4 separate regions of the Mus musculus genome follow, and regions 1, 3 and 4 are each reported to be linked to region 2. The links are microRNA targets in miRTarBase. Many come from high-throughput screens and were not tested one by one. Region 2 holds a microRNA gene; each other region holds the end of a gene's coding sequence.

Region 1 (7,117 bases), not on the chromosome of region 2:
CCACCCAGTGATGAGATCTGCTTCCACAGGAGAACTTCATGTTTGTAACTAGCAGAACTTTCCGTGTTCCTCGTAAAAGGCAACACATAATTAGAAGGACCTCATAATTTCTGTTGCTAAAGTGAATGGAATCTTTTCATATTTCCTGGTTTAGTGTATTGAGACACCTAAGTTACAACAGTCATATAACCAATCTTTCTCTTTTATAGTTTTAGCTGTTTTGTGGATTTTCTAGGCAGACATTATATTGTTCCAATATCAACTGTTTTTTTTTCCCCCCTATCTGGCTATTTAAGCTTCTTTTCTTGACAATGGCAAAGGCTTACACTATGAATTCCCATCTCCCAGGCTGAAGCTAGCCCAGCTACTCTTATTTTTCCATATGGGCTTAGCTTTAAGACAAGAGAGACATCCGGCTTGCTTTTTTTTTTTTTTTTTTTTTTTTTTTTTTTTTTTTTGAGACAGGGTTTCTCTGTGTAGCTCTGGCTGTCCTGGAACTCACTTTGTAGACCAGGCTGGCCTCGAACTCAGAAATCCACCTGTCTCTGCCTCCTGAGTGCTGGGATTAAAGGCGTGCACCACCATGCCTGGCCCGGCTTATTTTTTTAATTGTCTTTATTTTTGCTTTGTTTTGTTGTTATTGTTTTGAAACAGGGTAACTCTGGCTGGCCTGGAAATCTCTATGTACACCAGGCTGGCCTTGAACTCACAGAATCTTCCTGCCTCTGCTTCCCACATGCTAGGAAGCTGTACACTGCCATGCCTTGCAACATGTAATGGTTTTACGTACATGCTGAGCTGTGAAATGCCTCGGAAAGCACCCACCTAATCTCACATCGCTCTCCAGGAACCCAGCATCTCTCTCTTATCATTCAAGCCTTTTCGGTTCTCTTCAGGAGCTGGTGGTAAAAAGTTCATCTTGAGCCGGTCGTGGTGGCGCACACCTTTAATCCCAGTACTCGGGAGGCAGAAGCAGGCGGATTTCTGAGTTTGAGGCCAGCCTGGTCTACAAAGTGAGTTCCAGGACAGCCAGGGCTACACAGAGAAACCCTGTCTCGAAAACCCCCCCCAAAAAAAAAAGTTCATCTTGAGCAGATTTTGCATATTTCCTAAGTCTCACTGCTGTCATAAAGGGTGAGGACTGTCTTCCCTCGATGCTCCTATCTGCTGTTGTGGCTCCTGAGCCTACCAACTTCTGGACACTGTACTGTGTAAAATTCCAGAAGATTCTTTCGGACTGACGAGGACAATCACAGGCTCTCCACATGAGGCTGGTTTTGCATGTCTGTGCTCCTTGGCAGGCCGGGGAGGGTGAGGAAGGTCCCTAGTGGGGTTCAGCCTAGAGCCATCCCAAGCCTCCTGCCTGCTTCTCTCCAGTGTTCAGAGCATGCTGGCCAGACTATCAGAAAGTACTGTACAGTGGCTAAACTGGCCATCTAAAGACCTTCTGCTAGGACAGTTTTCTCCAACTCTCGCCTCAGGCCAAGGTTACTGCATTCTATGAGGTAGCATGAGTGTTACTGCGGGCTGAAGACAAGTTACGTTGCAAAGAAAGTTTCTCTAAGGCTCAGGCTGGGAAGGGAGGAACAAGGAACTGATGTTAGCTAGGCCAGGATCTCTGTGGGAGGAAACAGGAGACAGACCTGGCTGAGGAAGCACAATCCATACTGAGGGGACACGAAAGGAGAGAAGTGACTCAGGACAAGGTTAGGGAAGGCAGCCTGGACATCCCTCAAGGACAGAGTCACTAGCAGGGCTTGGAAACTGTGGAGGGAGGAGGCACAGGAACTTGAAATGGGAGTCAATTCCAAATGAAGTCAAGGTGTGGCAGACACTGAAGTGACTTTGTCCCCAACCAGGAGTCTGGTGTCCCTTCAACCATAGAGCTCTGATTCTTCACCATTATGTCACCAATATAAAATCCATACATCTGTGCCTATTCATAAGCAAGCCTCTCCCAAGAGATGACACGTTAGCATCTTTACCATCTAGAATGCCCTGCCTTATGAAAGCGGAAGGGGCTACTGGTCAGCCCTGCAGGACAGTTGTCACCTTTGGAGGGACCTCAAAGCAGGGGTCAGGGACACTGCACGAGCTGATGTGGGTATGTGTGGCACACTCCTTCTGACCTTAGGCGACCTCTCTCTGCCTGGTGTCCACCAGAGGAAGTCTACCTCCGAGCCTAGCCTGAGTAGTTGGAGAAGCAAGCCCTAAAAACTAAATGTTTCCTCCAGTCCCATTCAGTCCTTTCCTCTTGTCCCAGAGGCCCATTCTCGGTGTCCCTTTCCAACCAGTCCACCTAAAAGCCTGGGTTCTCGGAAGACTCTCCTAACTGCTTACCCAGTCTTGGGTCTGCAAGTCGTCCTGAGGCTTGCTCTTGGTGTCTGGCTGGCTGGAGGCCACGGCAAGCCCCTGTGGGGGTGACTGTTGTCTTTGCTCTTGAGCAAGCTGCCACTGTAGCGTCTTCCTCTGGGGGCGCTGTTGCCTGCTGTCCATCTCTAAGTACAGCAGGTTGCAGTTCCCTCGACTAGGGCTGTGGGGCAAGGTGCAGGAAGGGAACTGAGCAGGGTTCCTGCTGCCACGGCAGATCCCTAAAGCAGATGATGGCAGGCCCTGCTGGGGCCGCCTTCTACCTAGTGACTACTCTTGCCGAGTAGCGGGGTCCCTTGTGACTTTCTCTCCCAGGTCTTGTGGCCATTATCCTCCGCACCAGCATCCCCCCAGGGACAGCAGTAGCCTAGAAATAGATGCTAGCCTAGCCTTCTCTGCTCTCACCGAACCACCTGGTCTGCTTTTCCTCGCAGGGGGCGCTCCTTCTGCGGTCCTGACAAGCTCTTCAGTCCTAGGATCCCACCCTCAATAGGCCTCCTCCTGTCTTGGACAACCCTACCACACAAGGCCCAGGCTCAGCGCCAACCTGAGCTCTCATTTCCCACCCTCTCCGTGGGTATGAACTGTGGAAGTCAGTTAAGGGCAGCAGTGAAGGTATGTGGGAGTTGGGTCACCCGCTCCCACGCGGATGCAGAGCTCGCCCAGAGGGCTCTGGGAAGGGCTCTGTAGGCTCCGGGACAGATGAGGGGGGCTTAATGAGCTCCGGTTGACAATGGATCAGCCGGTGAGCCCAGGCTCAGAAGGGTCTGCACAGGGAGTGGAGGGTCGTGTGGCCTGTGAACGCTCATGTGGGTCCAGGTAAACAGAGCTGGCTGGTGAGGCTGACTTAGGACCTTCAGCACCAGCCTGAGAAAGCTGGATCCAAGGACAGAGCTCTAGGGAAGAGGGACGGAGCTTCCGTCCTACAGACCCCGCCCTCCGCGGCCGCTTCCGCCCCCTCCACGCGTGCGCCCCAGCGTTCAAGCCGCATGGCCCCAACACATTCAGAGAAATCACAGCAGTGGGCGGCCTGAGCGCCGTCAGTTTATTAGTGTCGCTTCAGCACCTTGAAATCGTCCACATGGTCGCATGGGACAGATCAGTATCTGCTCCCAAAAAAAGCTATTTACATGAATCCTGCTTTTTATTAAAAAAACAAAAACAAAACTAGCAACATACACACTCTAGAAATCAGTCACAGCGCGCTGGGCAGTCTGCAGAAGCGAACGGAGTCATCCTCACGCAAGGCTGTCAGCTTCTGCTGGCCCCCTTCCAGGACAGAGCAGTCTCTGAAGGGCACAGGGATTTAGGGAGCAAGTACCCTGGCCCTGGGGAGAAGTGCCAGGACGTTTTTATGCGGAATTCATTTGAGATGGAGGCTAGAGGAAGAAGTGAGGCTTGCAGGATAAGGCTAGGGCAAGCCATTGCTTCAGGGCTGAGCCTCCCGCCTCCCCACGCCTCCCCACCCCCACCTCCCAGCACTGGTACCTTTACAGTGATACTGAGCTGCGTACTCAGAGGGTGGTGGCAGGAACCAACTTGAAGGTAGAGGCAGGGCCCCCAACTGACAGCAATGAGCAATGGCAACTGGTGTTGCTTGACAGGGACCTCTAAGACTGGCAGGCTCTGAGGGTGATGCCTCAGAGCTTCGGATGCAAACACACTCTGCGGTTCGTACCACTGCACTGCCTGTCAGGGGGGCTTTGGTGTCATCCTTCAAAGGGACAAAGTGCTTCTCCATGACTTCTCATTACAGCTCCATGAGGTAGGCAAGGAAAATGGACCATCTCTCTAACCACTGGGGGAGTGAGGCACAGGGAGGAAGGACTGCTGTCTAGGTCTGCACCTAGCACTGCCATGGTGGGGGTTGGGGGGAAGGTGTATGGTGCTCAGGTGCTAGGCTTTCCTGACTCCACCCTGGGCCAGCTGTGGGACAAAGACGCTGCCTACACCTTCCTCTTGTGTGTGTAAAGTCAGACCCCTGGAACCAGTCAAGGAAGGAGCACGTATGTACAGGGGAAGGTTCTGGAAAAGGGCTGCCCTCAGGCAAGAGCTTGAACCCCTGTGGCCTCAAGGCTAGAAATCTAGGTCAAATGTTTCATATGAAGGTTGACTTTTGGGAAAAAACACAAGGGGCAGGTAAACTAGGCTCTTAGGCTCCAAGGATTACAGTGGCCTGACTCAGCACAAGATCTTTTCAGAGAATACCTCACCAGGAGTTCCACTAAGAAGCCCTGGACCCAGGGACCTGGGGACCTATTATCCAGGACAAATAGACCCTGTTCAGCAAGTCAATAAGGGAGGTAAGTAAATAAAAACCTGCCATCTTTCACCCCAGGAAGGGCGAGCAGTCCTCAAACTCAGCCTGTCCTGCTCTCGACAATTTTCTCAACATACTCTTAGGAAGGTCTCAAGGTCGAGACACCATTCTTCAGACACCATGCTTCCCAATGGACCACCAGAGCCCCCGAGAGAGCCCTAGCTTCCAGGGTGACAGGAACTCTTCTAATTAGATACCTCGGGGAGAAAGGATTCTTAAGAAAATTAGGACTGAGGCAGTGACCCCTTCATGAGTCTGGTGGAGCGTGTACAGCCAGGATGACCTGAGCTGTCGGACACCAGCACAACCCTTTCAAGTTGGATGGGAAAATGGTGGAGCTGCCACCAAGAACCAGATCCAGGTGGCTATGAGGAGCTTGGCTTGGCTAGACCTAGTCCTGTAAGGGAGGTGGCCTTTGTAGTCAGACCAGCATGCTGGAGCCTTCACGGGCTACAAACAAATCTCTCTCTCTCTCTCTCTCACACACACACACACACACACACACACACACACACACACACACACACACACACACACACACAACCTCTAGATGCCTGTTTCCAGTTTACAACCTCAATTCTCAGCTCAGATCCCACATGGCACACACACACAACCTCTAGATGCCTGTTTCCAGTTTACAACCTCAATTCTCAGCTCAGATCCCACATGGCCAATCCTGGATGATCCTGTCCAGCAAGCAGAATAGAGGGAAGGGCTCAGACAGACCCCAGAAGTGTCTCCCATTTCCAGGACGGACACTGGAACATATGAAAGGACCACCCGATCTGAGCAGCAGAAGCCTAAAGGTGCCCGTGGAATGGGAGCCACAGGGGTAGGGTAGGGATGCAGCTCCTGCTGGCTCTGCCCCAGCAAGGGGACTTCACAAGAGCAACATCTGCTTGGCAGCTACGTTGTCAAATGTATTTGAGAGCATTAGAAAGATCTGCTACTATAAAACCTCCGCCATGAGGCTGGAGTTTATTGGGAACCACGCATGGGGTGCCAGGGACTGACATCTCATGCTAGGAGAGCAAACATGCCCTTGACCTTTAGCTTCTGGCCACTAAACTCCAAAGCTCCCCGTGCTCCCTACTCCCTGAGGAAGCAGAATCCTGACGTCAGCAAAGGGCAGGATACAAAGGCAAGAACATTTCTTGCTTGTGGTCTGGGCTTTCATGGGACCAGAGTTCACCTCCTTTCTTACCAGCCTTTCCACTTGCCCACATATTCTGGTTAGTAAGCCGAGCAAAGTTACTCAGTGGCCCACAGGGAGCTAGCTGGGCTATGAGCACATTCATACTTAAGACTGTTTCTTTGTGTTTTTAAGAGTCTGTCTCTGTAGTAACCACGTGTTAACAGAAATACAGCTGTCCCTCCATCAATGGCTGGCACAGAGTCACTGTCCAGTGTCAGCCCTTCCGTGGGTGGGGCTAGAAGGTGGCTTTGGAGTGTCCAAAGATGCAGATGGGGAAGTGCTTCACGTGAGAAGACCACTGGGCAGCCAGCTGGAAGAACTTGACATCGCTGCATTCCACGCCGTCGATGAGGACTGTGGGAGAGGGCCACCTGACCATCTGCCTGCCTGGCAAGGCAACCACCTGAGATGGTGGGGTGCTGCCAGGAAGCAGGGTAATCCTGAAGCTGGAGGAAGCCCTGCTTAACAAGCCCTTCCCACCACCTGCCCTTCCAGGACTTAGTGCAATGGTGGGTCCACCTCCCAAGGGGTCTGGCAAGGGCAATCTGAGCCACACCTCAGCCAGGCATGGCCCATTTAAGTCACATCCACCTCACAAGGTCCAACTTACTTAAAATAGCTGTATTTCCAGAGGTAGCCTTAGGAAGACCACCCAAGGAACTGGGACTCACAGGGACCCAAAAGCCCTGTGCTCTGAATGCACTGCTTACAGAATAGCCTCTGTAAGATACTTAAGATACATGAATCAATCTTTAAGTGGAAGGAGGGCTGGGATAGAGCAATATGGTAGAGCATTTGCCTAGCACACAGGAGACCCTTGGTTCAATCTCTAGCAATCCTTCCCAAATCTCTACCAATAAAAACAGAAAGGGTTGAACCATTCCTTGAACTTGAAAGGCCGTTAGCTGCATGGAGGCACCTTATCCAAATGTGCTCCAAGAGTGGCTCTGTAAATAAGCCATCAGAGCAAAACAACTGCTTGCCCTGAGGGTTTGAAAGGCCAGCCATCAGTTCCGCTCTGCATTCAGTTTACAAACAGAAGCAAACAGGACCTAGGTCATGGACTGAGTCCCCAGCACCCTGTGGAGCAGCCCCCTGGCCCATGCTCACCCCGAAGCATGTTCTGTTGGTGCTTAGCTGTGCAGATCAGCCGGCTGATGCCCTCGATGCACTGGCTTTTGGATTCCACTTCCTTGTCCTTTGTTTTCTTGGGCAAAAACATCACTGGGAAG
Region 2 (7,117 bases):
TGCTGAGTAAGCGAGGTACCTGAGCTGCATCCCCAAGGGAAAGAGTGCTGCACGGGGCTCACAAAAGCATTTTGGGGCTATTGGTGAGAGTCCTGGCTGTTTCTCTGCCAGAGCAGCAGAGTTTCCTGTTGTAAGCCATCATGGTCTCTGGCTTTTGTCTCGTGGGGAGCTCTGGGGAAATGGCTCAGGTTTCTCTGTTCTCAGGAATCCTGGCCTCCTAAAGCAGGGACCTCTCTTCCATTTTTTTCCAGACCTAGTTAACCTCTCTCTGAATGACAATGACGGTTCCAGTGGGGCTTCAGACCAGGATACCCTGGCACCTCTGCCTGGAGCTACTCCCTGGCCCCTGCTGCCCACCTTCTCCTACCAGTATCCAGCGCCACACCCCTACAGCCCCCAGCCTCCACCCTACCACGAGCTTTCTTCGTACACCTATGGTGGAGGCAGTGCCAGCAGCCAGCACAGTGAGGGTAAGTGACCCACTCCCACGTACCAGTACAGCCAGAGAAAGTGGGCACAAGTAGAGCGGATTCGGGGAGGAGAGGCAAGAGCAGGGACTGGGATCCTGAGGACTCTGGGCTGAGCTTCATTTTCCTCGTCACCTCTGCCCTCCAACAGGGAGCCGGAGCAGCGGGTCGACAAGAAGCGATGGGGGGGCTGGGCGCACAGGCAGGCCTGAGGAACGGGCCCCTGAGTCCAAGTCCGGCAGTGGCAGTGAGTCAGAACTCTCCAGCCGGGGAGGCAGCCTTCGGCGGGGTGGGGAGCCTGGTGGGACTGGTGATGGCGGCCCTCCTCCATCCAGGGGCTCGACAGGCGCTCCTCCTAATCTCCGAGCTCTTCCCGGGCTCCATCCCTATGGAGCCCCATCTGGCATGGCTCTCCCCTATAACCCCATGATGGTAGTTATGATGCCTCCACCCCCACCCCCTGTCTCCACAGCAGTGCAGCCCCCTGGTGCCCCTCCAGTCAGAGACCTGGGCTCCGTGCCCCCAGAACTGACAGCTAGCCGTCAGAGCTTCCACATGGCCATGGGCAACCCCAGTGAGTTTTTTGTGGATGTTATGTAGGGACCCATCTTGAGGCCACATTGGGTCTGTGCCCTTGGCCTGGCAAGTTTCAGCCTGGTGCCCTTCATAGTGCCTGGGCTCAGCCTGGCGGCTGGTGCCTACCAAAACGTTTTTGCCACTGTGACTCTCACCAGCAGTGCCTGGTCCTTCCCCCTCTTCCTCGGGGGTAGATGGGGACCTTTGGTTATTTTTAGCTTTATTTTTTATAAGCTTTTTGGGGGGTTAAAATAGACTTTCTTATATTTGGGGGAGTATTTTTTTAAATAGACAGTTCCTCTTTTATATGGAGAATCCCTTCTAACCCCAGAATATGACCGCCACCTCCAGGTGCCTAGTCAGCTCTCATGTTGAGGGTGGGTGGTGGTCAGTGGTACCCTGGGAAGAAGAAGGTGTGGGCTGGGTACCCCAGACAGCAGTCCAAGGAGGCTGGTGGTGTGTTGGGGACTGTGTAGCTGCCTTTGTTACTCTATTTATTTTAGTCACTTGTACAAAACACCAAATAAAGCAAATAGAGGCCAACTCCCCAAGCCTCTGGCTCCTTTCTTTGCGAGGCAGGCAGTGGAGAGGAGGGAGCAGTGACATTCACGGCAGACAGTGACTTGGTAGAAAATTTATTGTTAAGGCAATAAGTACTCCATCACCCCCATAAAGGGTTTTGGCATCAGAGAAGGCACATGACCTTGCCAGGGCCTGATTGGGAGTCTCAGATTCCCAGGGGGTTACCGGTGACCAGGCCACCATTCTCCACCATGGCCTTGGAGATGCTTCTGAAGTTCCGGAAGAGCTCCTGATGCTGAGGGCTGGACTGCAGACTGGCCATGTTTTCTCGGATCCGAGTTGCAGCCTGGGGAGAGGGAAGGGGAGGGACGGTCAGGCCGTCCTGTACTGGGGAGCTCCAAGGCCCACCTGTACTGGGGAGCTCCAAGGCTCACCTCAATGCACCAGCTATCACAGAGCATTTTCTCATGCTGTGCCGTCGGGTAGCCCTCACTCAGGGACCTTGAGGCTCTGTGAGGAAACAGAGGTTAAAATGATCCTGAGTGCTGGTGTTGGCCCAGCTCCTCTGTGGCTCTAGCCTGCCAAGCGTCCCTCGCTGCCGCCTTACCTGGACAGAACCACCACCATGGCATAGAGGTCAATGGCGCCGTCCGCCAGTCGCTGCAGCAGGAACTGCTCGTCTGTCAGGTAGATGAGGGTGGGGCTGTTAGTCGGAGGGAGGGAATCAGGGAGGGAAGGGGGTTGCAGAGCTCACTCACTGACAATCCCTTTCTTGTGTTTCACCAGCTTGGCCTCCACCACGGTGGCAAATTGATCCAGAGCCTGCACTGCCTGAAGAGACAAGAGTCACAGACAGAGCTCAGGAGAGGAAGGCAGCGCACAGCCACCGCAGGCTCTGCTTTAAGGCTCACTCACCAGTTCACCACTGCGACTTAACTCTGGGTGGACAATCCCTGACAGACTCAAACCACTGCCGATTCCTGTCCTCCTGAGAGGAGATGGAAGAGTGACTGGTCAGTTGCGGCCTCCCATCTTGTTTGACCCTGACTCTGACCCTGGCCCCGGCCCATGAGGTACCGTCTCAGCTGTTTGCCTGCTTCTCCCATCAGGAGGCCAACGTTTCCAAAAGGATTCTTCAGGGCATTGCCCAGCCCAGTGAGTTCCTTTCCTTTGTCCTGTGGAGAGAAGGGGGACGGCGACAGTGAGGACTCAGTGTCCTCCCCAGCTGCTCTCTCTCATCCTCCTTCCTCTTACCATACAGCCTTGCAGAGCCACAAACAGTCGAAGAATGTCATTTGCCCCTTCAAAGATCCGGAAGATTCGAATATCTCGGAGCACACGCTCCACCCCTGGTTCCTGGCACGCAGGAAGACACAGAAACCTCTGTTGAGATGTGCCTGTCCACTCTGAACAGATGCCCCCCCCTGCCGAGGAATACTCTGTACCTTCATGAAGCCCATGCCCCCCATTATTTGGATGCACTCATCTGCCACTTTCCAGGCCGCCTCCTGAGGACAGAGAACCAGATGAGTTGGATTTTTGAGCTGAGGTCCTAATCTGGACTCCGCCCTCCCATCACACCTGGGTCCTCACCGAGCAAAAGATTTTGCTGATGGCGGCTTCTATCTGGAAGTCTTTGAATCCCTGGTCCATGTTGGCACTCAGCATGTAAGCCATGGACTAAGGGAGCATGGTCGGGACATGGGGAAGACAACAGGGAAGGGCTGCATCAGACAGAATGGCTAATGCTCAGACCTTCAAGACCAGTGCTGATCTACTCCTCCAACCCTTGAATTCACTTTAGCCTCCTGGTCAGGTCAAATATGTCCAATATGTGACCCTCTGGTATATCAGGGGCTTCGAGGCTTCCGACTTTGTAAAGGGGTGGGTTAAAAGTCGTGTTTGGTGCATCTGGGCAGCATTTAGCAGAGCAGCACCACCCTCCAGAAGAGAACTGACTATGCCTCCTCGCATCCCCTAGGGCATTGGTGTAAAGCTGGAGACCCACTGCCCCAGGTGCTGCTGGGGGTTGTAGTCTGACCCAACTGTGAAGAAAGCCATAGGGCTCCAGGGAAGGGGCCCAGGAGGCCCTTACCTCAGTCACATACTGCAGAATAGCCATCCGAGCCAGCTTTTCCTGGATCACCCCAAAGTTGTGAATTTTGTCCCCAAACTGGGTACGATTAGTAGCATGATCAACCTGCAAGAGGGCGCATGTTACCCCACTGTGGTTCTTCAGTTTCCACCTGGACGGGCTGGAGGCCTAACTGTGCCGATGGTCGAGTGTGCATGTGTGTGTGTCGGCGCTCTGAGGCAGTCAGGGACATGTGCTAGCTAGGGACTGGGCTGGGACTCACCGCCTTGGCAATGAGGGATTTCATGGTGCCTGCGAGGGTTGCAGCCATCCCGAATCTTCCGTTGTTGAGGATGTTGACAGCAACCTTGAAGCCATCTCCCACCTCTCCTAGCACATTCTCTGATGGCACCTTCACTCCATCAAAGTACACCTCTGACGTGTTAGATGCTTTGATGCCCATCTTCTTTTCAGGGAGCCCACTGAAAAGGCAGGGCAGGAAAGTTGAGGTATGAACAGGTTGCTGTGGGGGAAAACGGCCTTTTCGGGTCTCATGATCAGGGGAGAACTCCCCAGACTATAAAAAGGATACAGGGCACTGCCTATGTGCCCCAGGGGCTACGGATATCTAGCTATGGCCTGTTAGCCTGTGTTCCCCCAGTGGAAACAAAACTGCTCACCTCCTGTGGGTGCCTCTTGTACAGAGATAGCCCCAGCGTGGCCTGTATTGACTATTTGCTCTTGAGAGCCCAGTGCTGTCCCCATCCTTGATTCTGTTTTGCCCCATACTCACTGGGTAACCCCTCCGAAGCTCCTTTCCACTACAAAAGCTGTGATCTTCTCTTTCACGGCCCCCGTGGCTGCATCTTTAATTGGCGTCTTGGCAAAGACAGTGAAAATGTCAGCCAGGCCCCCATTACTGTGGAAGAGTGAGGTGGTTAGTATAGGGTTTAGAGCAGCAGGGTCAGGCCACTGGGCTGAAGGGTAGAAGAGAAACGGAAGATTGCCTGATCCAGATCTTGCTCCCATTGAGAGTGTAATATTTTCCACAGGGGCTGGGTATGGCTGAGCTTCGGATGGAGGCTACATCGGATCCACTCGAGGGCTCTGTTAGGCAGAAAGCAGCCAAAGCCTGCCCTGTGGGGGAGAGAACGGGCTCACTGGGGATCCTGACCACCAGAGTTGCACCCCCTCATCCCCAGGCAGTTCCTTGTAACACCGTGAGCAGTGTCACACTCCTTACCCCTGGGTCTCTTAAGGTTGCCTTACCAGATGCCACTCTGGGAAGGTATTTTTCTCTCTGGGCCTTTGTGCCATAGAGCAAGATGCCTTTGAAACCGATGCTCTGATGAGCTCCCAGGGTAACGCTAACACCAAGGTCATGCATGCCCACAATCTCTGCCAAGCGAGCATACTGGAGGGAAAGGAGGCATCTGGGATTGTAGCTGGCTGCACTGAACTTGTCCTCAACAAGAATGGGCAGCAGGGCAGACCTGGCCTGGGGCTTGGAGCATCTCTACTCTGAGCATGGGGAGTGGAGTGGGTTTGGACAGGGCACAGGGAGGCTGGCCATGGGGCTCCCAGGTAGGCTGCTTCTCTAGCATGAAACCCTGGAGTCTTTCCTAAGGAGACAGGAGCAGGAACATCAAAGGGCTTAGATAATCCCCCCCCCCCCTTTTGAGGCAGTTTCATTTTGTAGCTCCAGCTAGCCTGAAACTTTGTGGGTTTCCCTGACTGTCCTGAAACTCCCTCTGTAGACCATGCTGGCCTTGAACTCGAGATCCGCCCGCCTCTGCCTCCATCCTCCATGCTGGGATTAAAGATGAGTGCCACTGTGCCCAGCTGCCCTTGGTCTTGATGGGAAGGTTGCCTGCTGTGTTGCCTCACACAGTCCCCAAAGACCTGGGAACCACAGTTAGGTCCACGGTCCTAGTGGGCTGCACACAGATCATGTTTCAGGGGAAAATGTGTGAGAAAAAGGGCAGGCAGGTAGACACTACTCTGGCTACTTGCTTGGCCCTAGTGGTGAGTCTACCAAAACTGGAGCACTGTGGAATGTTAACCAGGGGGATCCTCTCACCTGGGTATTAGAGAGGCCCAAACCACCCAGCTCGCTGGGTACTTGCAGGCCAAATGCCCCCAGTTCCTTGAGTCCCTGCAAAGTGTCGTCCTCCACCTTCTCCAAGGCGTCGTTCTTGGCAGGGTCATTCACTTCCTGAGCAAGGAATAGGAAGAATCTCATATTCAGAGGCTCCTTTAAGCTCCTTAGCATCTTACTTAGCCCAGGAGGGGCTGAGCTCTGGTCATCCCTTACCTCAAAGAACCGGGCCACTGGTCCCACCAGCTCTTTGAGAAATTGTGCCTGTTCTTCACTGAGCACTGTATAATGGGAGAGAAGAGCAGGCTAGTCAGGCAGAGAGGGCTCCCCTGCCCACACTGTCAGTGACTGACTAAGCCTTTACTTACCAGATGGGTATGGGAACACCTGATCAATGGTAAGCTGGCCTTTGAACATCCCCACAGCAAAGGACTTCGATTCCTAGGCAAGGAAGGAAAGGATCTTAGGTGGGTGCCTGGGGTGATTCTACTCCTGGTTTTTAAGTGTCAGTCCAGTTTCCAGTCACTTACTGCCCTGGCTGGTTTTTCTCTGGTGGAAGCATCAGAGGAGAGGGTTTCTGGCTTGTCCAGAACTGCCTGGAGGGAAGGGCAGAGCAGTTAGGCTGGAGATGGGTCTTAAAAGGTGTGCAGGAAGCGCTAGCTCTAGGAAGTGCGTTTGGTGCATGTTCCATTACTTTCTCACTAGGGCACCCTGGCGTGCCCTTTCCCCTACTTTCAGTGACAGAACTGCCACCAGGTGACTGGGTCGAAGAGAGAGACCCCTGTCGGTCGCAGGCTAGTGGGAACTGGCAACTCGCATTTCTACGTCCGTCTCCCTCATCCACTGTCACTTACCTGAGTGGCCTCCCTGGCATAAAGTCGCTGGGCAGAGATAGGCCGGGGTTGTCCCTGAAGCACAGTAGTAGATCGCGAGCTGTAAGGAGTCGGGGTTCAGTTCTGCCCTGGTTCCCAGACCCAGTGTCCCCTTGCTATATACGGACCTTCGGGCCCCCAGCCGCAGCAGCTGTCGCCCCACACTCGGGGTCATCCGAGCCGACTGCATCTCCAAAGCCGCCGCCGAAGTCTTGACCACTGACCTCTTCTCTTCGCGTCTCGCCTGCCCAAAGGTTGTGTGTCTGGGCCCTGACTCATGCTCCACAATGCACTGCGTGGTGGGGGCGTGGTCTTGGGCCTCGATGCATGGTGGGAGCTGAAGTTCCGACGTGTGCCCGGTCCCTGTATTCTACCTGACCTAGGGTGATCCATCTTCAAACGATCCGTTTTCTTTCCCAAACTCTATAGAGCCGCTGGTCTAAACTAAAGTCTGATCCACTAAAAAGGGAAGAGATTAGATAAGAGAAGGAAGAATTAAATGACTAGA
Region 3 (7,117 bases), not on the chromosome of region 2:
AGGATGGACCATGTAGACACTAGCATATCCGGGGATCCATCCCATAATCAGCTTCCAAATGCTGACACCATTGCATACACTAGCAAGATTATGATGAAAGGACCCTGATATAGCTGTCTCTTGTCAGAGTATGCCTGGGCCTAGCAAACATAGAAGTGGATGCTCACGGTCGGCTATTGGATGGATCACATGGCCCCCAATGAAGGAGCTAGAGAAAGTACCAAAGAAGCTAAAGGGATCTGCAACCCTATAGGTGGAACAACATTATGAACTAACCAGTACCCCGGAGCTCTTGACTCTAGCTGCATATGCATCAAAAGATGGCCTAGTCGGCCATCACTGGAAAGAGAGGCCCATTGGACACGCAAACTTTATATGCCCCAGTACAGGGGAACGCCAGGGCCATAAAAGGGGAGTGGGTGGGTAGGGGAGAGGGGGTGGGTGGCTATGGGGGACTTTTGGTATAGCATTGCAAATGTAAATGAGCGAAATACCTAATAAAAAATGGGGAAAAAAAAAAAAGGAAAAAAAAAAAAAAAAAGAAGAAAGAAGAAATTAGCTATCCTGATGGTGAAGATCAAACTTGCCCTAAGGAACCCAGCACCCCTAATTAGCACAAAGTGGTCTAATAACATTGCCTTCTATTCCCTGACTTTATCCAGGGATATTCCTTTCTTTTCTATCCTTTTCTCTCTAGTGTTAGGGCATTGAAAGGGTGGAAAAAGTGGAGAAGGGTGGAAGAAAGAAGAACCCACAAAGTAGCAAATGCCCTCTACAAGGGTCTCATGAGACCGTGGTTTATTCACTAGGTTAGGTTGGTTGGCTGGTGAGCCTCGGAAATCCTGTCTCTATCTCTCACACTGGGAGTACAATTGATTCTTTACCAACAGGCAGACTTGTGTGCACTGTCAGTCTGACCAGGCAGTGTTCGTGTCCTATCCAGACACAGCTGTGCTCTAGTTTACTGCTTAGAATTTGGGCCTGTAGGAAATAAAAATATGTGGCTTGTCTCAAGACAGATTATACTTTGTACCATGAAATTCCCATCAAGAATTCCTCAAAAAAGTCAAATCTTACGTGTTCAGAAAGAAGGCAAGGTTTTTGTTTTCCAAAAATAGTTTTTAGATTAGCAAACAGAATGAGAGTTTAAAGCCCTGTGTCTGTGGGCTGTGGGCAGTGTGAACTGACGAGTGTGAAGGCAGGAAGCCAGACTGCATCATCCTTTTTGTTTTTAGACATCTAGGTTGCTCCACGGGAATCCTTCGACACAGCTCATCCTCTCTGCTGCCTTTCCACTACAACAGAGCACTTTCCCTCCTTCGCACCACCAGCAACACCAGCCTCAGCAGCAACAGCAGCTTCCTCGGCACAGGACTGACAGCCTGACTGACCCTTCCAAGGTCCAGCCACAGTAGCACACACACTTCCTCTCTGACATGCGAGAGGAAGGGGATGGCCAGAAAGAATCGCTCAGTTGGCATGCGGTCAGAAGTTGAACAGTTTCACGAGGGTGGTCTTGAGTGTTCAGTCCCTTGATGAGACGGTAGGGAAGTGCTGCCCAGTGCTTCAGATGTCCATTAAATACCAGCCAGTGGGAAATGGTCATAGGGACACAGCCAATTCTGACAGTTTCTTTGCCCAGGTATTTTTTGATAGAAAGAGTATATTGCCAAATGCTAACAAGCTCAGCTATCAACCAGATCTTTACTGAATCCGAAGAGCACTAACAGTGTTGGTAGCTTTAGTGGGTCTGTGCCTGCATCAAATATTACAGAGGGCACACCACTGCCAGGGGTTTGCTTAGAATGCCATGAAGATAGTCCAGTAGTTAATAGTCCCCACCCCAAACTCCTCTCCCTGTTCAGACAATGATGGAACCGTGATGACTTTGAGAATGTTGTGCAGGTTTGAATTCACTGTGTACAGATGCTGTAGTGTCTCTGTGTCTGGATGGAGGAGAGAAAGCCACTTTGATACAGAAAGCATTATCTGTCCCTCACAGGTATGAGTGCATTTCATTAGGTTTGACACCATGTACAAACTGATAACAACCTCTCTTTTTTCATTTTGTTTACAACACAGTAGTGTTCTCGTTACTTTTCCAGGGCACAAGTCTTTTTGTCCGTGCTTTGGCTGTGATGTCACAGTTTGTTCAGTGAGGTAACAATGTGCTGCTGGGAATGGATTTTTTTTAAGGTTAAATTATTGCTACATTTCCACTTACTCAGAAATATCCCTTATTTCATTATTTTTCAATTATGTTTGAGAGAATTGCACTGCTTTATTATTTTAGATGGTTGGTTGAGAGTTTAATCACATATTTTGATATATTTCATAGTTGGAATATTTATGTAAATGGTTTTCAACAAGCCTGAAAGTAATTTCAAGAATGTTTCAGTTGTAAGAGTAAAGTTTGCACACAAAACATTTTAGGCACTTTTTTAACATTCTCAGAGGTGGGAATTTTAACTTTTAGGATTTGTTGGAATCTTTTTATTATCTTTAAAAATTTCAATGCTTCTTTTAGTCAGAAATGATTCAGGGTTATTTGAGGGGAAAAAACCCATAGTGCCTTGATTTTAATTCAGGTGATAACTCACCATCTTGAATTCATTGTCTGGTTTCAGTAGCAGTTTTGAAACCTTAGTACATTTTTAGCAGCAGTGTCATTCTCAAGTCCCCATGAGGACTGCTGCGTCTCTTGGGCTGCCTGACAGCGTCACAGCTGGGAATGGGATCCCAAAATCGTTTCCTGTTTGCATCTTCCTCTAAAGCTAAGTAACTCTTTTAGGAATTACCAGTAAATACTTGCTCAGAGACAAGGGACAAGTTGTCTTTAATTTTCATTGCAGCACTAGAATAATGTAACTCACATGCTTTTTAAACATTAAGATTTCATTTGGCAATATCATTCTCTACAGGTAATAAACTCCAACAAAGCTACATACATTTTAAAAGGCATTTTTTTAGATTTTATGGTACTAATAATGAGTTTTTCAATTAAAGAACAAAAGATCAGTAGGATATAGAATATCAAGTATTACTGAGAAAAGGGAGGATAAGTGTGGCACATTAGAATTGACCTTAAAAGGAAAGTATGTGATGGTGAGGTGCTAAACTGGTTTCAGCAGTGCAGATAACCTAAGGCAGAGTTGCTAGATCAGGGCTTGGGGAACTCGGAGTCAGCTATCTGTCTCTAGCTTTGCTCTCATCATCAGTAAGTGTGTCTTTGTTTTCCTGTTTACCTGACTGCAATTAAGTTAGCAAGTTAGTGATAAAAAGAAAACAACCAAAGAAAATTGGTACCTACTCTTCTGCATAAGAAGTGTGTCTAGATACCAGTCAGTAACTCACATATCACAGAGTTCTTCTAGCTGACATTCATACGAATACCAGAAATAGTTGTGAGAATACACATTTATGCAAGTTTGTGCACACGTGACGAAATCAATGTAAGTCGAGCACCCACATTGCTTTTCTCCCTTCCACATTGCCTTCTTCTCTTTGGCCATTCCATGTCCTCGGAGTCGGAGCTGTGCCTCGTTTATCTTTTTGCATCACATAGCGATAAGAATTTAGCTACAGGAGATACAACATGCTAGTTATGTAATGCCTGCTGTTCTTCACAGTTCATCTCCCTGCTTAAAAGTAGCAGTTGATAAGAAACTCTAGCTGCTAAGGCTGCTGTCCACACGGAGATGCATGCTGGGCAACAGTTGTCAGCACTAGCTGCCTCTTAGCTCCTTAATTCTTGGTTCCTTTGGATGGCAAACTGTCTTTGTCTGCTCCCCACACGACTCCAGTATTCTGAAGAAAGTTCATCTTTTGCCTGTTCATTTCTGTAGCCAAAGCTGACTGAAACCCCAAATCTAAATCATGAAAAGATACCAAAAAGAAACACTTCTCAGCTTCTTAGAAACCTTAACTTCTCTTGCTGTATTTCATGGATTTGATTTTCTTTGAAATTTTTGATTCTGGGCAGCGCCTTTTAATTAAGAAATTGTTAGGATGAAGGTCAAACAGGTTCTCATTGCCCTGCAGGTACCTTGCTCTGGACTGCTTCTGTATGGGGTGACTTGGGGTTGCTGAACACACAGGATTAGAACAGTAAACACAAAGCTGCCCTTGAGGCTGGCGTTAAACCAGAGCCTCAATATTGAAAATATCAAGTCCTCTTTCCTTCCTTAGAGACGAGACTGTGAGAGGAAAGCAACTGTGGTAGGTGGGCTTGCTTGCACATGAGCACCAAGACCATTCCCCAAGCTCTATCCTCAGGGTAGCATTTAGAGTGCTGTGTTCTGCTGTCACATAGACATGGCTTAGGGATGTAGCACTAATAAAAGAATGCCCGTGCTTTTGAATAGTTGTGATAGCAAACTCTAGGCTAACTAGCAAGTGTTTGAATTCTGTGTGCTGTATAGTAGTTGGTCATTGCCTTAAAGCAGTCTCTTGGAAGTTGGGAGCACTGAAGCAGTCCAACCATATATGGGCATCACGTTGAGGGAGATGAGCCTTGTTCAAGCCTTAGAAAGGACCCTTAGTCTACACAGGTAGATTCTTTTCACTTGGATATTACTGTGTTTAAAATGTTTCCACTATGTTGAGGCAGTTTTTTAAAGTGGAACACAGATAGGATTTTTAGTATTTCTTTTTTTGTTTCTTTGGTGATTAAAGGTTTGTTGGTAGACATTTGTGTAAAAGTTGTTCAAGCCTATCATCTTTCCAGTACTTGTGGTCCTGTTCTTAGTACCAGAGTCCACAATGGAAAGTGTAAACACTGGATATTAATATTGCTGAGGGTGCATAGCCAGGTGTGAGCTGACTGGAACTTCTCAGTGGTGAAGAAACAGCACAACGGCACTTGCCATTTTCATAGTGATTGCATAAAGAGACCTTCTAAGTTTGTCTGGATTGAGTGAACACTCTTCTAAGAGGAGCTTCTCAAGTAAATGCAAAGGAAAAGAGTTGACTATTTTTATAGCATATTTAATATATTTGTATATAACTATGAGTGTAGTAGGAACCCTCCACATGCCTCCCACTTTTCTAATTCCCTCCCCTTCTGCCGTAGCCCTAGTCCAGCCTCATCCGCATGGGTAATGTGCCTACTGTCAGCCTACCTACCAAAAGATAGTGCTGCTGCTTTCTGAGACAGGTGAGATCAGACTCTCATGCCTGGGGATCCTTATGGGAGGAATAGCACACACTTAGAACAACATACCACAGTTTAAGAGCATCATTTTGAAAGGTAATAAGCACTTTATTGCAATTATTCATTTAGATAAAGTTTGTATCTTAGGCATTAACCGTTTTTAAAGGATCCCTAATCATCACTTAGGTGAAATGATAAACGACACATTTCTGAGAAATGTTCAGGTCCAGTGAACCGTAGCAGGTTTATGGGAATGATTTCAAGGTAGCCAAATAAACTCTGACTTTTGTTTTGAATGTGGTGGAGTCAGGAGATTGTAGATGTGTAGTTTGATTTAAACACTATTGTAAACCTATCTTGCCTATTGTGTGGACACCAAAAGAGACCAATGAGCCTGTTTATTTTCAGAGGTCTAGGAATATGCATCTGTCTGAGTAGATATACAGAACTAATCTATAAACGGTTGGTAGTAATATTTTAGGATACAGTAACTTCAAGAATTATTGAGTGTTTTAAATGTGCCCTGAAATGTTGGCATGTCATTTCAGCGTTCCCATTTGAGTTGCTCTTGTAATATTTTTGCACAAAAAGGACTGAGAAAAGACTGCTTTGGTTGAAGAAAACTATAATTTGGTCTTATTTTAATGTCTCCTGTGGAAACACTGGAGGTAAATTTGTTGGCATAGTTACTAATTCAGGATATTTAAAACAGTGTTGAACAGCTCATCAGAAATTAAGCAAACTTATATATTTAAAAATTAAAAATCTTTTTTTCCATGTGACTGTTTTGCATATTTTTTCCGTTGTCATACCACACTACATTCCTTGGTTTTTTTTCTGAAATAATAATTTGTGAAAGATTTGAGTATTCAACAATATTTTTTAAGACGCCTGGGTTTTCCCAGGAAAATGTCCTAGTGAAGTAAGTTATAGCTATATATAGTTTGTGGAGACTATTGAGATTCCATCAACACCACCAGCAAACACTGAGGTGCTGAACCAAGAGACAATCATAATAGTAAGTATTTACAGGACTTAGGAGAGGCTGCAAGGAACACTTGTTCCCAAAGCAGTTCTCTGGGTCTCCTAAATAAAATGGCTGTGTATTTAGATTTCTACATTGTGTAGTTGGTGATTTATTTAATTTATTGCATCATTTTCTTGTCGTTGGAGAACTTGCTCTTGTTTGGGGCAGTCACTACCCTACCCTCTAGTGACTCCCCACTGACAGATCATTGGGATCCATTGTGCATCACGATGGTGATGGAGGGTGAACCTGAATGTCCCTGCACTTCCCTCCTGCTCTGAATTCATTTAAGAAAAGAACATTAAAAGCTAACTCCTTTTAGCTCTGGTCACATAGTGTCACTTGTTGCCTTCTCTGATTCATGGGCACTTTTTATACATTCGTTTCCCCAACACAGTCAAAAAGGCCAGTAAGACAGAACCAAGGGCACATGTTGCCTCTGTTGCCCATTTGGGGAAATGCTAGCAAAGTAATATCTATTAATGACTGTCGTCACTACATCCATATATAGAAGTCCTTCTATATAGTTGAACAGTGTATGCACACTGAAAACTTTGAAAAGTTGGCTGTCTTTTAGATCCTCCATAGTCCAGTAAAGTGGTGCTTGAACATAGGGAGTCTAGTTGTGTGAGGATCCTTCCTGCTCACGTGACCAAAGTGGGCTATGGTCCTCCTTTAGCACGGTTGCGGCTCTGGAGTCCCACAGTCAGGGTCTAACACACATAGGGATCCCCTGGAGAGCAGTTATTAAAATACTGTCAGACACAAACTGGGTTTATTACTTAAGAGGCATCTAACTCTGAGGGGCATAAATTCAAAATATACCATTTTTAGATGTTTGCTTTTAAATCAGTGAAAACAAACTGTGACATCGCTTTAAGAAATGACTTTTCAAATGTTTTGAGTTGGCCTGTACTGGTTCACATTTATTGCTGACA
Region 4 (7,117 bases), not on the chromosome of region 2:
ATCTTACTACCCAAGCTTCCTACCCTACTTCCTGTAAGTGCCAGCATAACTGCCCTAGTGCCATTAGGCCTTGTTCTCTGGGGGCCTCCACAGTTCTGGTAGCCCCAGATCCTGAGTATGAACTGTGTACATGGAGGAGTGAGGGTCACTTTGTTCTGCCTCCACTGACCTGCATTCTGGGCCTCCCTCCCTGTCTAGTTCAATGCTGCCAATGTCACCGACCACCGTGGGCCCCACCATCAGCTTGGACCTGGACGTGGATGACGTAGAGATGGAGAACTATGAGGTCTGTGGAGCCCGGGCTGGGCTGGGCCAGGAAGGGGTGAGGTGGTAAACCTATAACCTCAGGCGCTGCTGACCTCCCTTGCCTGGTTGTAGGCTCTCCTGAACCTGGCTGAGCGGCTGGGAGACGCCAAGCCCCGGGGCCTCACCAAAGCAGACATCGAACAACTGCCGTCGTATCGCTTTAACCCTGACAGCCATCAGTCTGAGCAGACTCTGTGAGTGTCACCCTGGAAGCCCAGGGAGGGCCCTCCGCTGCCTCAGCTGTCACTGTGCTGACACTGTGCCCCTCCTCAGGTGTGTGGTCTGCTTCAGTGACTTCGAGGTGCGGCAACTGCTCCGAGTCCTCCCCTGCAACCACGAGTTCCATGCCAAGTGTGTTGACAAGTGGTTGAAGGTAAGGTGGCCTGAGCCGGCTCCTGGGTGTCTCTAGGGGCAGGAGTGGAGATTTTCTCCAAGTCAGATAGGTGGGGGAGGGGAGGTCACGCAATGGGGTCTGATGTGTGGGTGTTCTCCCAGGCCAACCGGACCTGTCCCATTTGCCGGGCGGATGCCTCCGAGGTGCCCAGGGAGGCCGAGTGAGGCTCCACAGCCACCCACGAGATCCCTGCCCAAAGCTCCGGAATTGGGTGGGGGGGAGCAGGGCGTGGCCCGGGGAGGACTGTGAGGGCGGGGCCAGGCCTGTCAGCGTTCCCACCTGCCACTCCAGAGCTGGTGCCAGGGTCAGTCTGGAGAAGCCCCTGCAATAAGCCCCTGCATTGCCAAGCTCCAAAGACTCCTTCCCCAGTCTGCCTGCCTGCCTGCCTGCCCGCCACGGAGCTGCCTGAGTTTCCCCAACTCAGTCTGCTTCTTATCTGCCCCTGGGTCCTTCTTCCTGCTGGCTCTGGGAGGCAGGAGTCCATTCCCCAAGTGTGGTGGCTGGTGTGATTTCCCCAGACCCCAGACGGACAAAGGAATAGCCACCCTGGGTCAACTGGTCTCCTGTACTGAAATGACGTGTCCTTCCCTGCCCTAGTGGGGTTGCCAGGTGTGTGGGCAGGGAGTAGCCAGAGACCATTTCCTGAGTTCTCCTGTTTGGTTCCAGACAGACATAGGCAGTCAGCTCTGCCTCCACTGCTGTGTGGTGTGGGTCTGACTCCCCAGGACCCTTACCCCAGGCACAGCGTTCCAGCCCACCCCCAGGCTGGAGAGTATCCCAGCCAGGCTCCATGAGCAAATGGGCCAGGGCTCCAAGCTGGATACATTGTGTTCTGCAGTAGCCTCGAGCGATCTGGGCATGTTCTTGTGTTCCTGGTGGCTGCCCCTCCACCAGTGACAGTGTCAGACCCATGCTCGATCCTCCCCCTCTGTCTTTTTGCATGAATGTGAGGAACAGCAGTTTTTGTTTATTCATTTGGCCCAAAATTGCGTGTAGGGGGTGTGGATATTTAAGAGGTGTTTAGTTTTTTATTATCTTGTTTTCTCTTTGGTTTAATAGGAGTGGGGGCATAGGGACCAACCGGGACCAAATGCCCAGGGGGCAGAGTAGGGTCCGGTTCTGCCACACCAGGCCTCCACATGAGTGTGTGCGGCTGGAACTTTATCTGGGTGGCTGGAAGTCACAGGGCGGAGTTTGGGGGGGTCTGTGCTCAGCTGATAACTGCCATGCACTGTACTGCACATGTCCCTAGAGCCTACCGGGACCGTCTGCTTTTCAGGGCATCTCCTCTCCAGCCAGGGCCTGTGTCCCACCTGCCTGGGTGAGTCTCCTAGCAATCCTGTGAGGACAGGGGTCAGGGAGGACATGAACCTCCACCTCAGGGGGCCCCTCCCGGCCTGATTCCTGCCCTCCAAGGTCTGGAGGAGGCTGTGTTCCTTACCCTCCTTTCAGGTCCCACTCCTTTCCTTTCCTACCGCCAACTGGGGTTGCTGCGCTGCCTGGAGTGAACGAACCGCGTGTGGGGCCGGCACATCCTAGCAGGCAGCCATTGGCGCCTGCTGCCTCAGGGATGCTCCAACCACCCTCGTTCTCACCGCAGCCCTGCCCCCACCCCAGCCTGCCAGGCCCCATTGGCCTGGTCCCACCCCACAAGAACCCAAAGTCTTACTGTATATAACTCCAGGTGATGTTTCTATATTTATAGCAGTGTTGAAAATCCACGTGTTTTACACAGAGAACCACCTTCTCCAACCCCCATCCCTTCCTCACCCCAAAAAAGGTTTTCAAACCCTTGTGGTTCCTGGGGCAGCAGAATTGGCTCATGGACTGTGTCGGCTGCAGTGATGATTCCAGCAAGCAGCTACTAGGGGGAAATACACCTTTTTTGTTTGTTTGTTTTTAATCATTTAAAAAAGATTTATGAAACAATTACTTAGGATGTTTGTGATTTGCCGACCTTGCTGTAGATGCCATGTTACCAATGATTTCCTGTGGTGGGGGCTTGGCATTGTTTACTCTTTATTTACCAACTTCTGGCCTAGGCATGACAGTGGGCACCTTCCCCCAGCACTGCTGGGCCCAGCGCCTGTGTTCTGTGTTAGAAAAGTTTTATATATATATATCTAACTAAACACACACACACATATATATATATATATAAACACATGTGATTTGGGGGCCCTGTTCCTTGCACATCTTACAGTTACCTCATTTTTCCCATGTATGTATTTGAGAAAATGCTAATATATAGAGACAAATGGTTCTTAAAGCTTAAATGTGTGGTTTTTTCCATCCCATTGGACTCACATTGGTTTGTAGCATTTAACATAACTAGTATGTTGTATTATATATGTGTATACTGATTGAAATTTTTAACAGATTTGTACTTTTTTTAAAATGAAAGTTGCTAGTTCTGCTTGACCAAGTAGTGCAATCATTATTTTTTTTAATATTGTTGCTGATTTCAGAGGGATATTCACTAATAAATGTATGATGTATACGAGTGCTGCCCAAGCTGCCTCTGGCTGCTCTCTGTGTTCTTTCCATGAGAAGTGGGGAATGGGGACGTGGAGACTGGTCATGCTCAGTGGGGTGGCAAGCCATGAACTGACCAGAAACACCTGCCTTGAGTGGAAATGGGTTGTGTTGGCAAGTTACAAGATTCCATCGAACAAATGTGAGGAGGACACCTGGTCATCCGAACTTCTAGGTTGTTCTTGGCATTTTGAGGTGATCTCATGTAGCCCAGGCCTCAGATTCAAATCTGTAGTTGAGGATGAACCGTCTTCTGTCTCCAAAGTGCTGGAGTTAGAGGCACGTCCCCTCACACAGGCCATAACACTGAACTTCTGAGGGAGTGGGCTGTGTGCAGCTCAATGGTGGGGTGTGCTACCCTAGCTCATGCCAAGCACTGGGCCTCATCCCCAACATAATGGGTCAAGGTGCAGTCCAACTGCGTTTCTCCAAAAGGGGAAACCTCGAGAACTCCATTAGACATTGGACAACTCTGGGTTCAGCAGCATGATTGGCCAGGCCACAACCTGAGGTAGACCTGTGCACTCCATGCCTCTGTTCCCTGCCCCAGTGGGGCTTCATTTATCTCCATGGTGGCATTGGGTACAGGGCTTCAGGAGTGAGCATGCCAAACAGCACGATTCTGCAGAGCAGTACCTTGTGTGATGCCACTAACCAGAGCTCTGGTCAAGTGCTTTTCATGGAGTCTGAATCATTGAGAGAGAGAGTGTGTGTGTGTGTATGTGTGTATGTGTAGGCAGAATCAGCTGAGGTGTTTTAGAAGTGAGGAAGTCCACTAGGCAGTATCATGGGATAAGGGCTCTGATAGTCTAACTGGGCCTTGCTCGGACCTATGCTGTAAATCTCTAGAGTTGATCATGAAGGCTGTGTGTCATGTATTTGCTTTGGCTGCAGCTGCACACCCTTGCAGTGTACCGGGACATGGTAGATTATGTGTTGCAGCAGCTGAGTTCCCAGACTCTAGAGCAATAAAAATCCAAAATGAGGAAATGGGTTTTTAGAAGCTAGCAAGTAGGCCAGGCAGTGGTGTCGAATGCCTGTAATCCCAGCACTTGGGAGGCAGAGGCACTCGGATTTCTGAGTTCAAGGCCAAACTGGTCTACAGAGTGAGTTCCAGGACAGCCAGGGCTACACAGAAAAACCCTGTCTCGAAAAAACAAACACAAAAGAAAAGCTAGCAATAAATATATGAAACAGCATAGCATGTGTCCTAAACCAGCCTGCAACTTAATAGCAGAGGTTGATCTTTCCACCTTCCCCTCCCAAGTGCTTGAGTTACAGGCACTGCAGCATGCTCTGTGCAGTGCTTCCAGCACGCTGAGCACTCAGCTGACTGACTTGCTAACATTAACCTAGACACGTGAGAATATAATTTAAAAGCAATATTTCTAGGGGTTGGAGAGATGGCTCAGCAGTTAAAGAGCACTAGACTGCTCTTTCAAAGGTCTTGAGTTGATTTCCCAGCAACCACGTGGAGGGCTTACAACCATCTGTAATAGAATCCGATGCCCTCTTCTGTCATGCAGGCATATATGCAAATAGAGCTATATACAGAGTATAAACAAACAATGCTATTTCTAGCCAGTCAGTAAAAATTTGGGCCTGTAAAGATGGCTCAGCCGGTGAAAGTGTCACCCTCTTCCAGAGGATTAGAATTGGATTCCCAAGCTCCAAATCAGGTGACTCCATAACTGCCAGTAAGTGGAGCTTCAGAGGATCCCGTGCCTCTGGCCCCTACGGACGGGCACCACACATGGTATACACTCACAGGTGCACACACGTAAATTTGTCATCGTAAAGAAAAATCTAAGATATGCTGGAAGTTGTAAAACCTAGGGTACAGGCAAGTGTAGCTGTACACAAAAACTCACATCTGGATGAATGGAAGGTGTGTTGGAGTCAACTTACCCAAATTTCAGGAAAGTTTTTAGCCTTTTCTGAAATAGGTTGGAAAATATCAGAACCATGTCTCAGCAAGTGACACTTGATGACCTGTGACTCAGTGGAAGGAGAGAACTTTCTGCGAGTTGTCATCTGAGCTCCACATTGTATCATGGTGCACCACGCACACACACACACACACACACACACACACACACACACACACGCACGCACGCATACCACGTGTGAACACACACGCACGGATGTAAAAAGACAACATGGCGAAAATATTACAGAATAAAAAGAATGCATACATTGGGACTAGAGAGAGAGCTCAGTCTTTAAGAGTACAGGCTGCTCTTACAGAAGGCCCAGGTTTGATTCCCAGCAACCACATCATTCAATGGAACTCCAGTCTGGAGCAGGGGAGGGGTTGGGTCGGGGATATAAAGGCTATACTGCTCTCTTCATTAGGCCTCCACAGGTACATGGTGCACAGACGTATGCACAGTCAGAAACACAAATGTTTGTCTTTAGTCTCACTGTGTAGTGTGGCTGTCCTGGAACTCAGTCTGTAGACCAGGCTGGCCTTGAATTCAGAGATCCACTTTGTCTCTGCCTCTAGAATGCTGGGATTAAAAGTGTGAGCCTCCTCCTCGCTCAGCTTGAAAAGATGGTTTTTGTTTTTTCTTTTTTCTTTTGGTTTTTCGAGACAGGGTTTCTCTGTATAGCCCTGGCTGTCCTGGAACTCACTCTGTAGACCAGGCTGGCCTCTGCCTCCCGAGTGCTGGGATCAAAGGTGTGTGCCACCACGCCCAGCGCTGAAAAAATGTTTTTAAAAGCCCAGAAATCAGTCTACACAATTATAATTAACTTTACTCACAATCGCATTCCACACTTTATGCTGCAGTTAACACAGAGTGGATCACAGACTTAAAGATTAACATAAAACTTCAGGAAGATGGGTAGACATTATCTTAGCCCTTCTCTAGGGCTAAGCAAAGTAGTTTTGCCTATTACATCAAACTCCATTCACAGTATAAGCTAGTAAATTGATATCAAACTGAGAGCCTGCAAACCACACAGCGGACAAAGGGTTCCTCTCTCAGAGTCATAAAAACAAAAGTTCAATGTCCAGTTTACCAAAGGCCTTTTTGCTGCTTGTGAAAATATGTTCAAGACCAGCAGCCCTTCGGGAATCCAAACGAAGCACATTTACAAAGCCAATGGAAATGTAAGGCTCCTGTCGCAGGCCAGTGGTGGCCGCAGCGGGGAAACTCATTTGGTCTCAGCCCCCAAGACTATATACACTTCAGCTGTAGACAGGAATGCCTTTGCAGCCCTCAGGCCCACGGCTCACAGACCTGCTACTCTGGAAACCTGAAAGACCTGTAACATCTTGACAGTCCAGCTCACTTCCCCATGCTACCCAGAGTTCAGATCAGAGCTGTTACTAGCTCGTTTGGACCAGTTTTTCCTGTTTCTCCTGTTTAGGTCAGTAACCCCACATTACTAAAGCATCCCGCTTGTCTGCCGGCAAAACAAGAATCTGGGTGGGAAAAAGGAGACTGGTTTCCACAGGCTACTGCAGCCAGTCGCAAGGGTTACTACTTGATTCTATCTAACACTACCAGGGTGAGAGCATTGGAGACACTGCAAACATGGGGTTAGGAATAGGAAACAAGGGGCTTGGTTCAGTGATTAAGAGCATTTGTTCTTGCAAAGGATATGGGTTCGATCTTCAGCACCTACGTTGAGGCTTACCATTTCCTGAGATAACAGGCATGCATATGGTGAGCAGACATACATGCAGGCAAAGCACTCATACATACATACATACATACATACATACATACATAATAAAATAAATTTGTTAGAAAAGAATAGAACATCTTTAAAAATAATAAGGGGGCTAGGGGGATGGCTCAGTGGTTAAGATAGAAAGTAAATAAATAAATTATACTAAGGGGTAGGCAGTGAGGGCAGCAGGAAGTCTTACAT

What was found. Region 2 holds the annotated microRNA mmu-miR-324-3p (CCACUGCCCCAGGUGCUGCU, at 3,570-3,589, shown strand). A microRNA usually pairs through its seed, bases 2 to 8, with sites in the 3' UTR of a target mRNA and lowers its output. Matches are read on the target gene's strand: a 7mer-m8 pairs with bases 2 to 8, a 7mer-A1 pairs with bases 2 to 7 and ends in A, and an 8mer does both.
Region 1: the mRNA of Pacs2 is a reported target of mmu-miR-324-3p. Seed matches in the 3' UTR shown: 7mer-m8 at 4,221-4,227 and 7mer-m8 at 4,054-4,060.
Region 3: the mRNA of Clock is a reported target of mmu-miR-324-3p. The part of its 3' UTR that is shown has no 7-base or 8-base seed match.
Region 4: the mRNA of Rnf44 is a reported target of mmu-miR-324-3p. Seed matches in the 3' UTR shown: 7mer-A1 at 2,539-2,545.

The regions. Positions count from the first base shown.
Region 1 is chr12:113,070,660-113,077,776 of GRCm38, reverse strand. Pacs2 (phosphofurin acidic cluster sorting protein 2) reads right to left here. Exons shown (of 24, transcript NM_001081170.1): 23 at 6,996-7,109; 24 at 3,376-6,239. The coding sequence ends at 6,121. It overlaps Tex22 (testis expressed gene 22), which reads right to left and starts at 3,275. Exons shown (of 3, transcript NM_001361919.1): 1 at 2,918-3,275; 2 at 2,341-2,533. The coding sequence starts at 2,496.
Region 2 is chr11:70,008,526-70,015,642 of GRCm38, forward strand. It overlaps Mir324 (microRNA 324), which reads left to right and starts at 3,518; the gene lies at 3,518-3,606. It overlaps Dvl2 (dishevelled segment polarity protein 2), which reads left to right. Exons shown (of 15, transcript NM_007888.4): 14 at 252-470; 15 at 619-1,584. The coding sequence ends at 1,067. It overlaps Acadvl (acyl-Coenzyme A dehydrogenase, very long chain), which reads right to left and starts at 6,903. Exons shown (of 20, transcript NM_017366.3): 1 at 6,738-6,903; 2 at 6,592-6,670; 3 at 6,268-6,333; 4 at 6,106-6,178; 5 at 5,954-6,018; 6 at 5,720-5,854; 7 at 4,909-5,053; 8 at 4,647-4,776; 9 at 4,433-4,558; 10 at 3,923-4,121; 11 at 3,661-3,765; 12 at 3,159-3,245; 13 at 3,011-3,073; 14 at 2,820-2,921; 6 more. The coding sequence starts at 6,799. The coding sequence ends at 1,771.
Region 3 is chr5:76,210,997-76,218,113 of GRCm38, reverse strand. Clock (circadian locomotor output cycles kaput) reads left to right here. Exons shown (of 23, transcript NM_001289826.1): 23 at 1,236-7,117. The coding sequence ends at 1,415. Among named protein-coding and RNA genes, the nearest start is that of Tmem165, 31 kb to the right of the region's middle.
Region 4 is chr13:54,675,496-54,682,612 of GRCm38, reverse strand. Rnf44 (ring finger protein 44) reads left to right here. Exons shown (of 11, transcript NM_001146026.1): 7 at 1-33; 8 at 199-286; 9 at 379-500; 10 at 580-679; 11 at 802-3,214. The coding sequence ends at 864. Among named protein-coding and RNA genes, the nearest start is that of Rnf44, 8.8 kb to the left of the region's middle.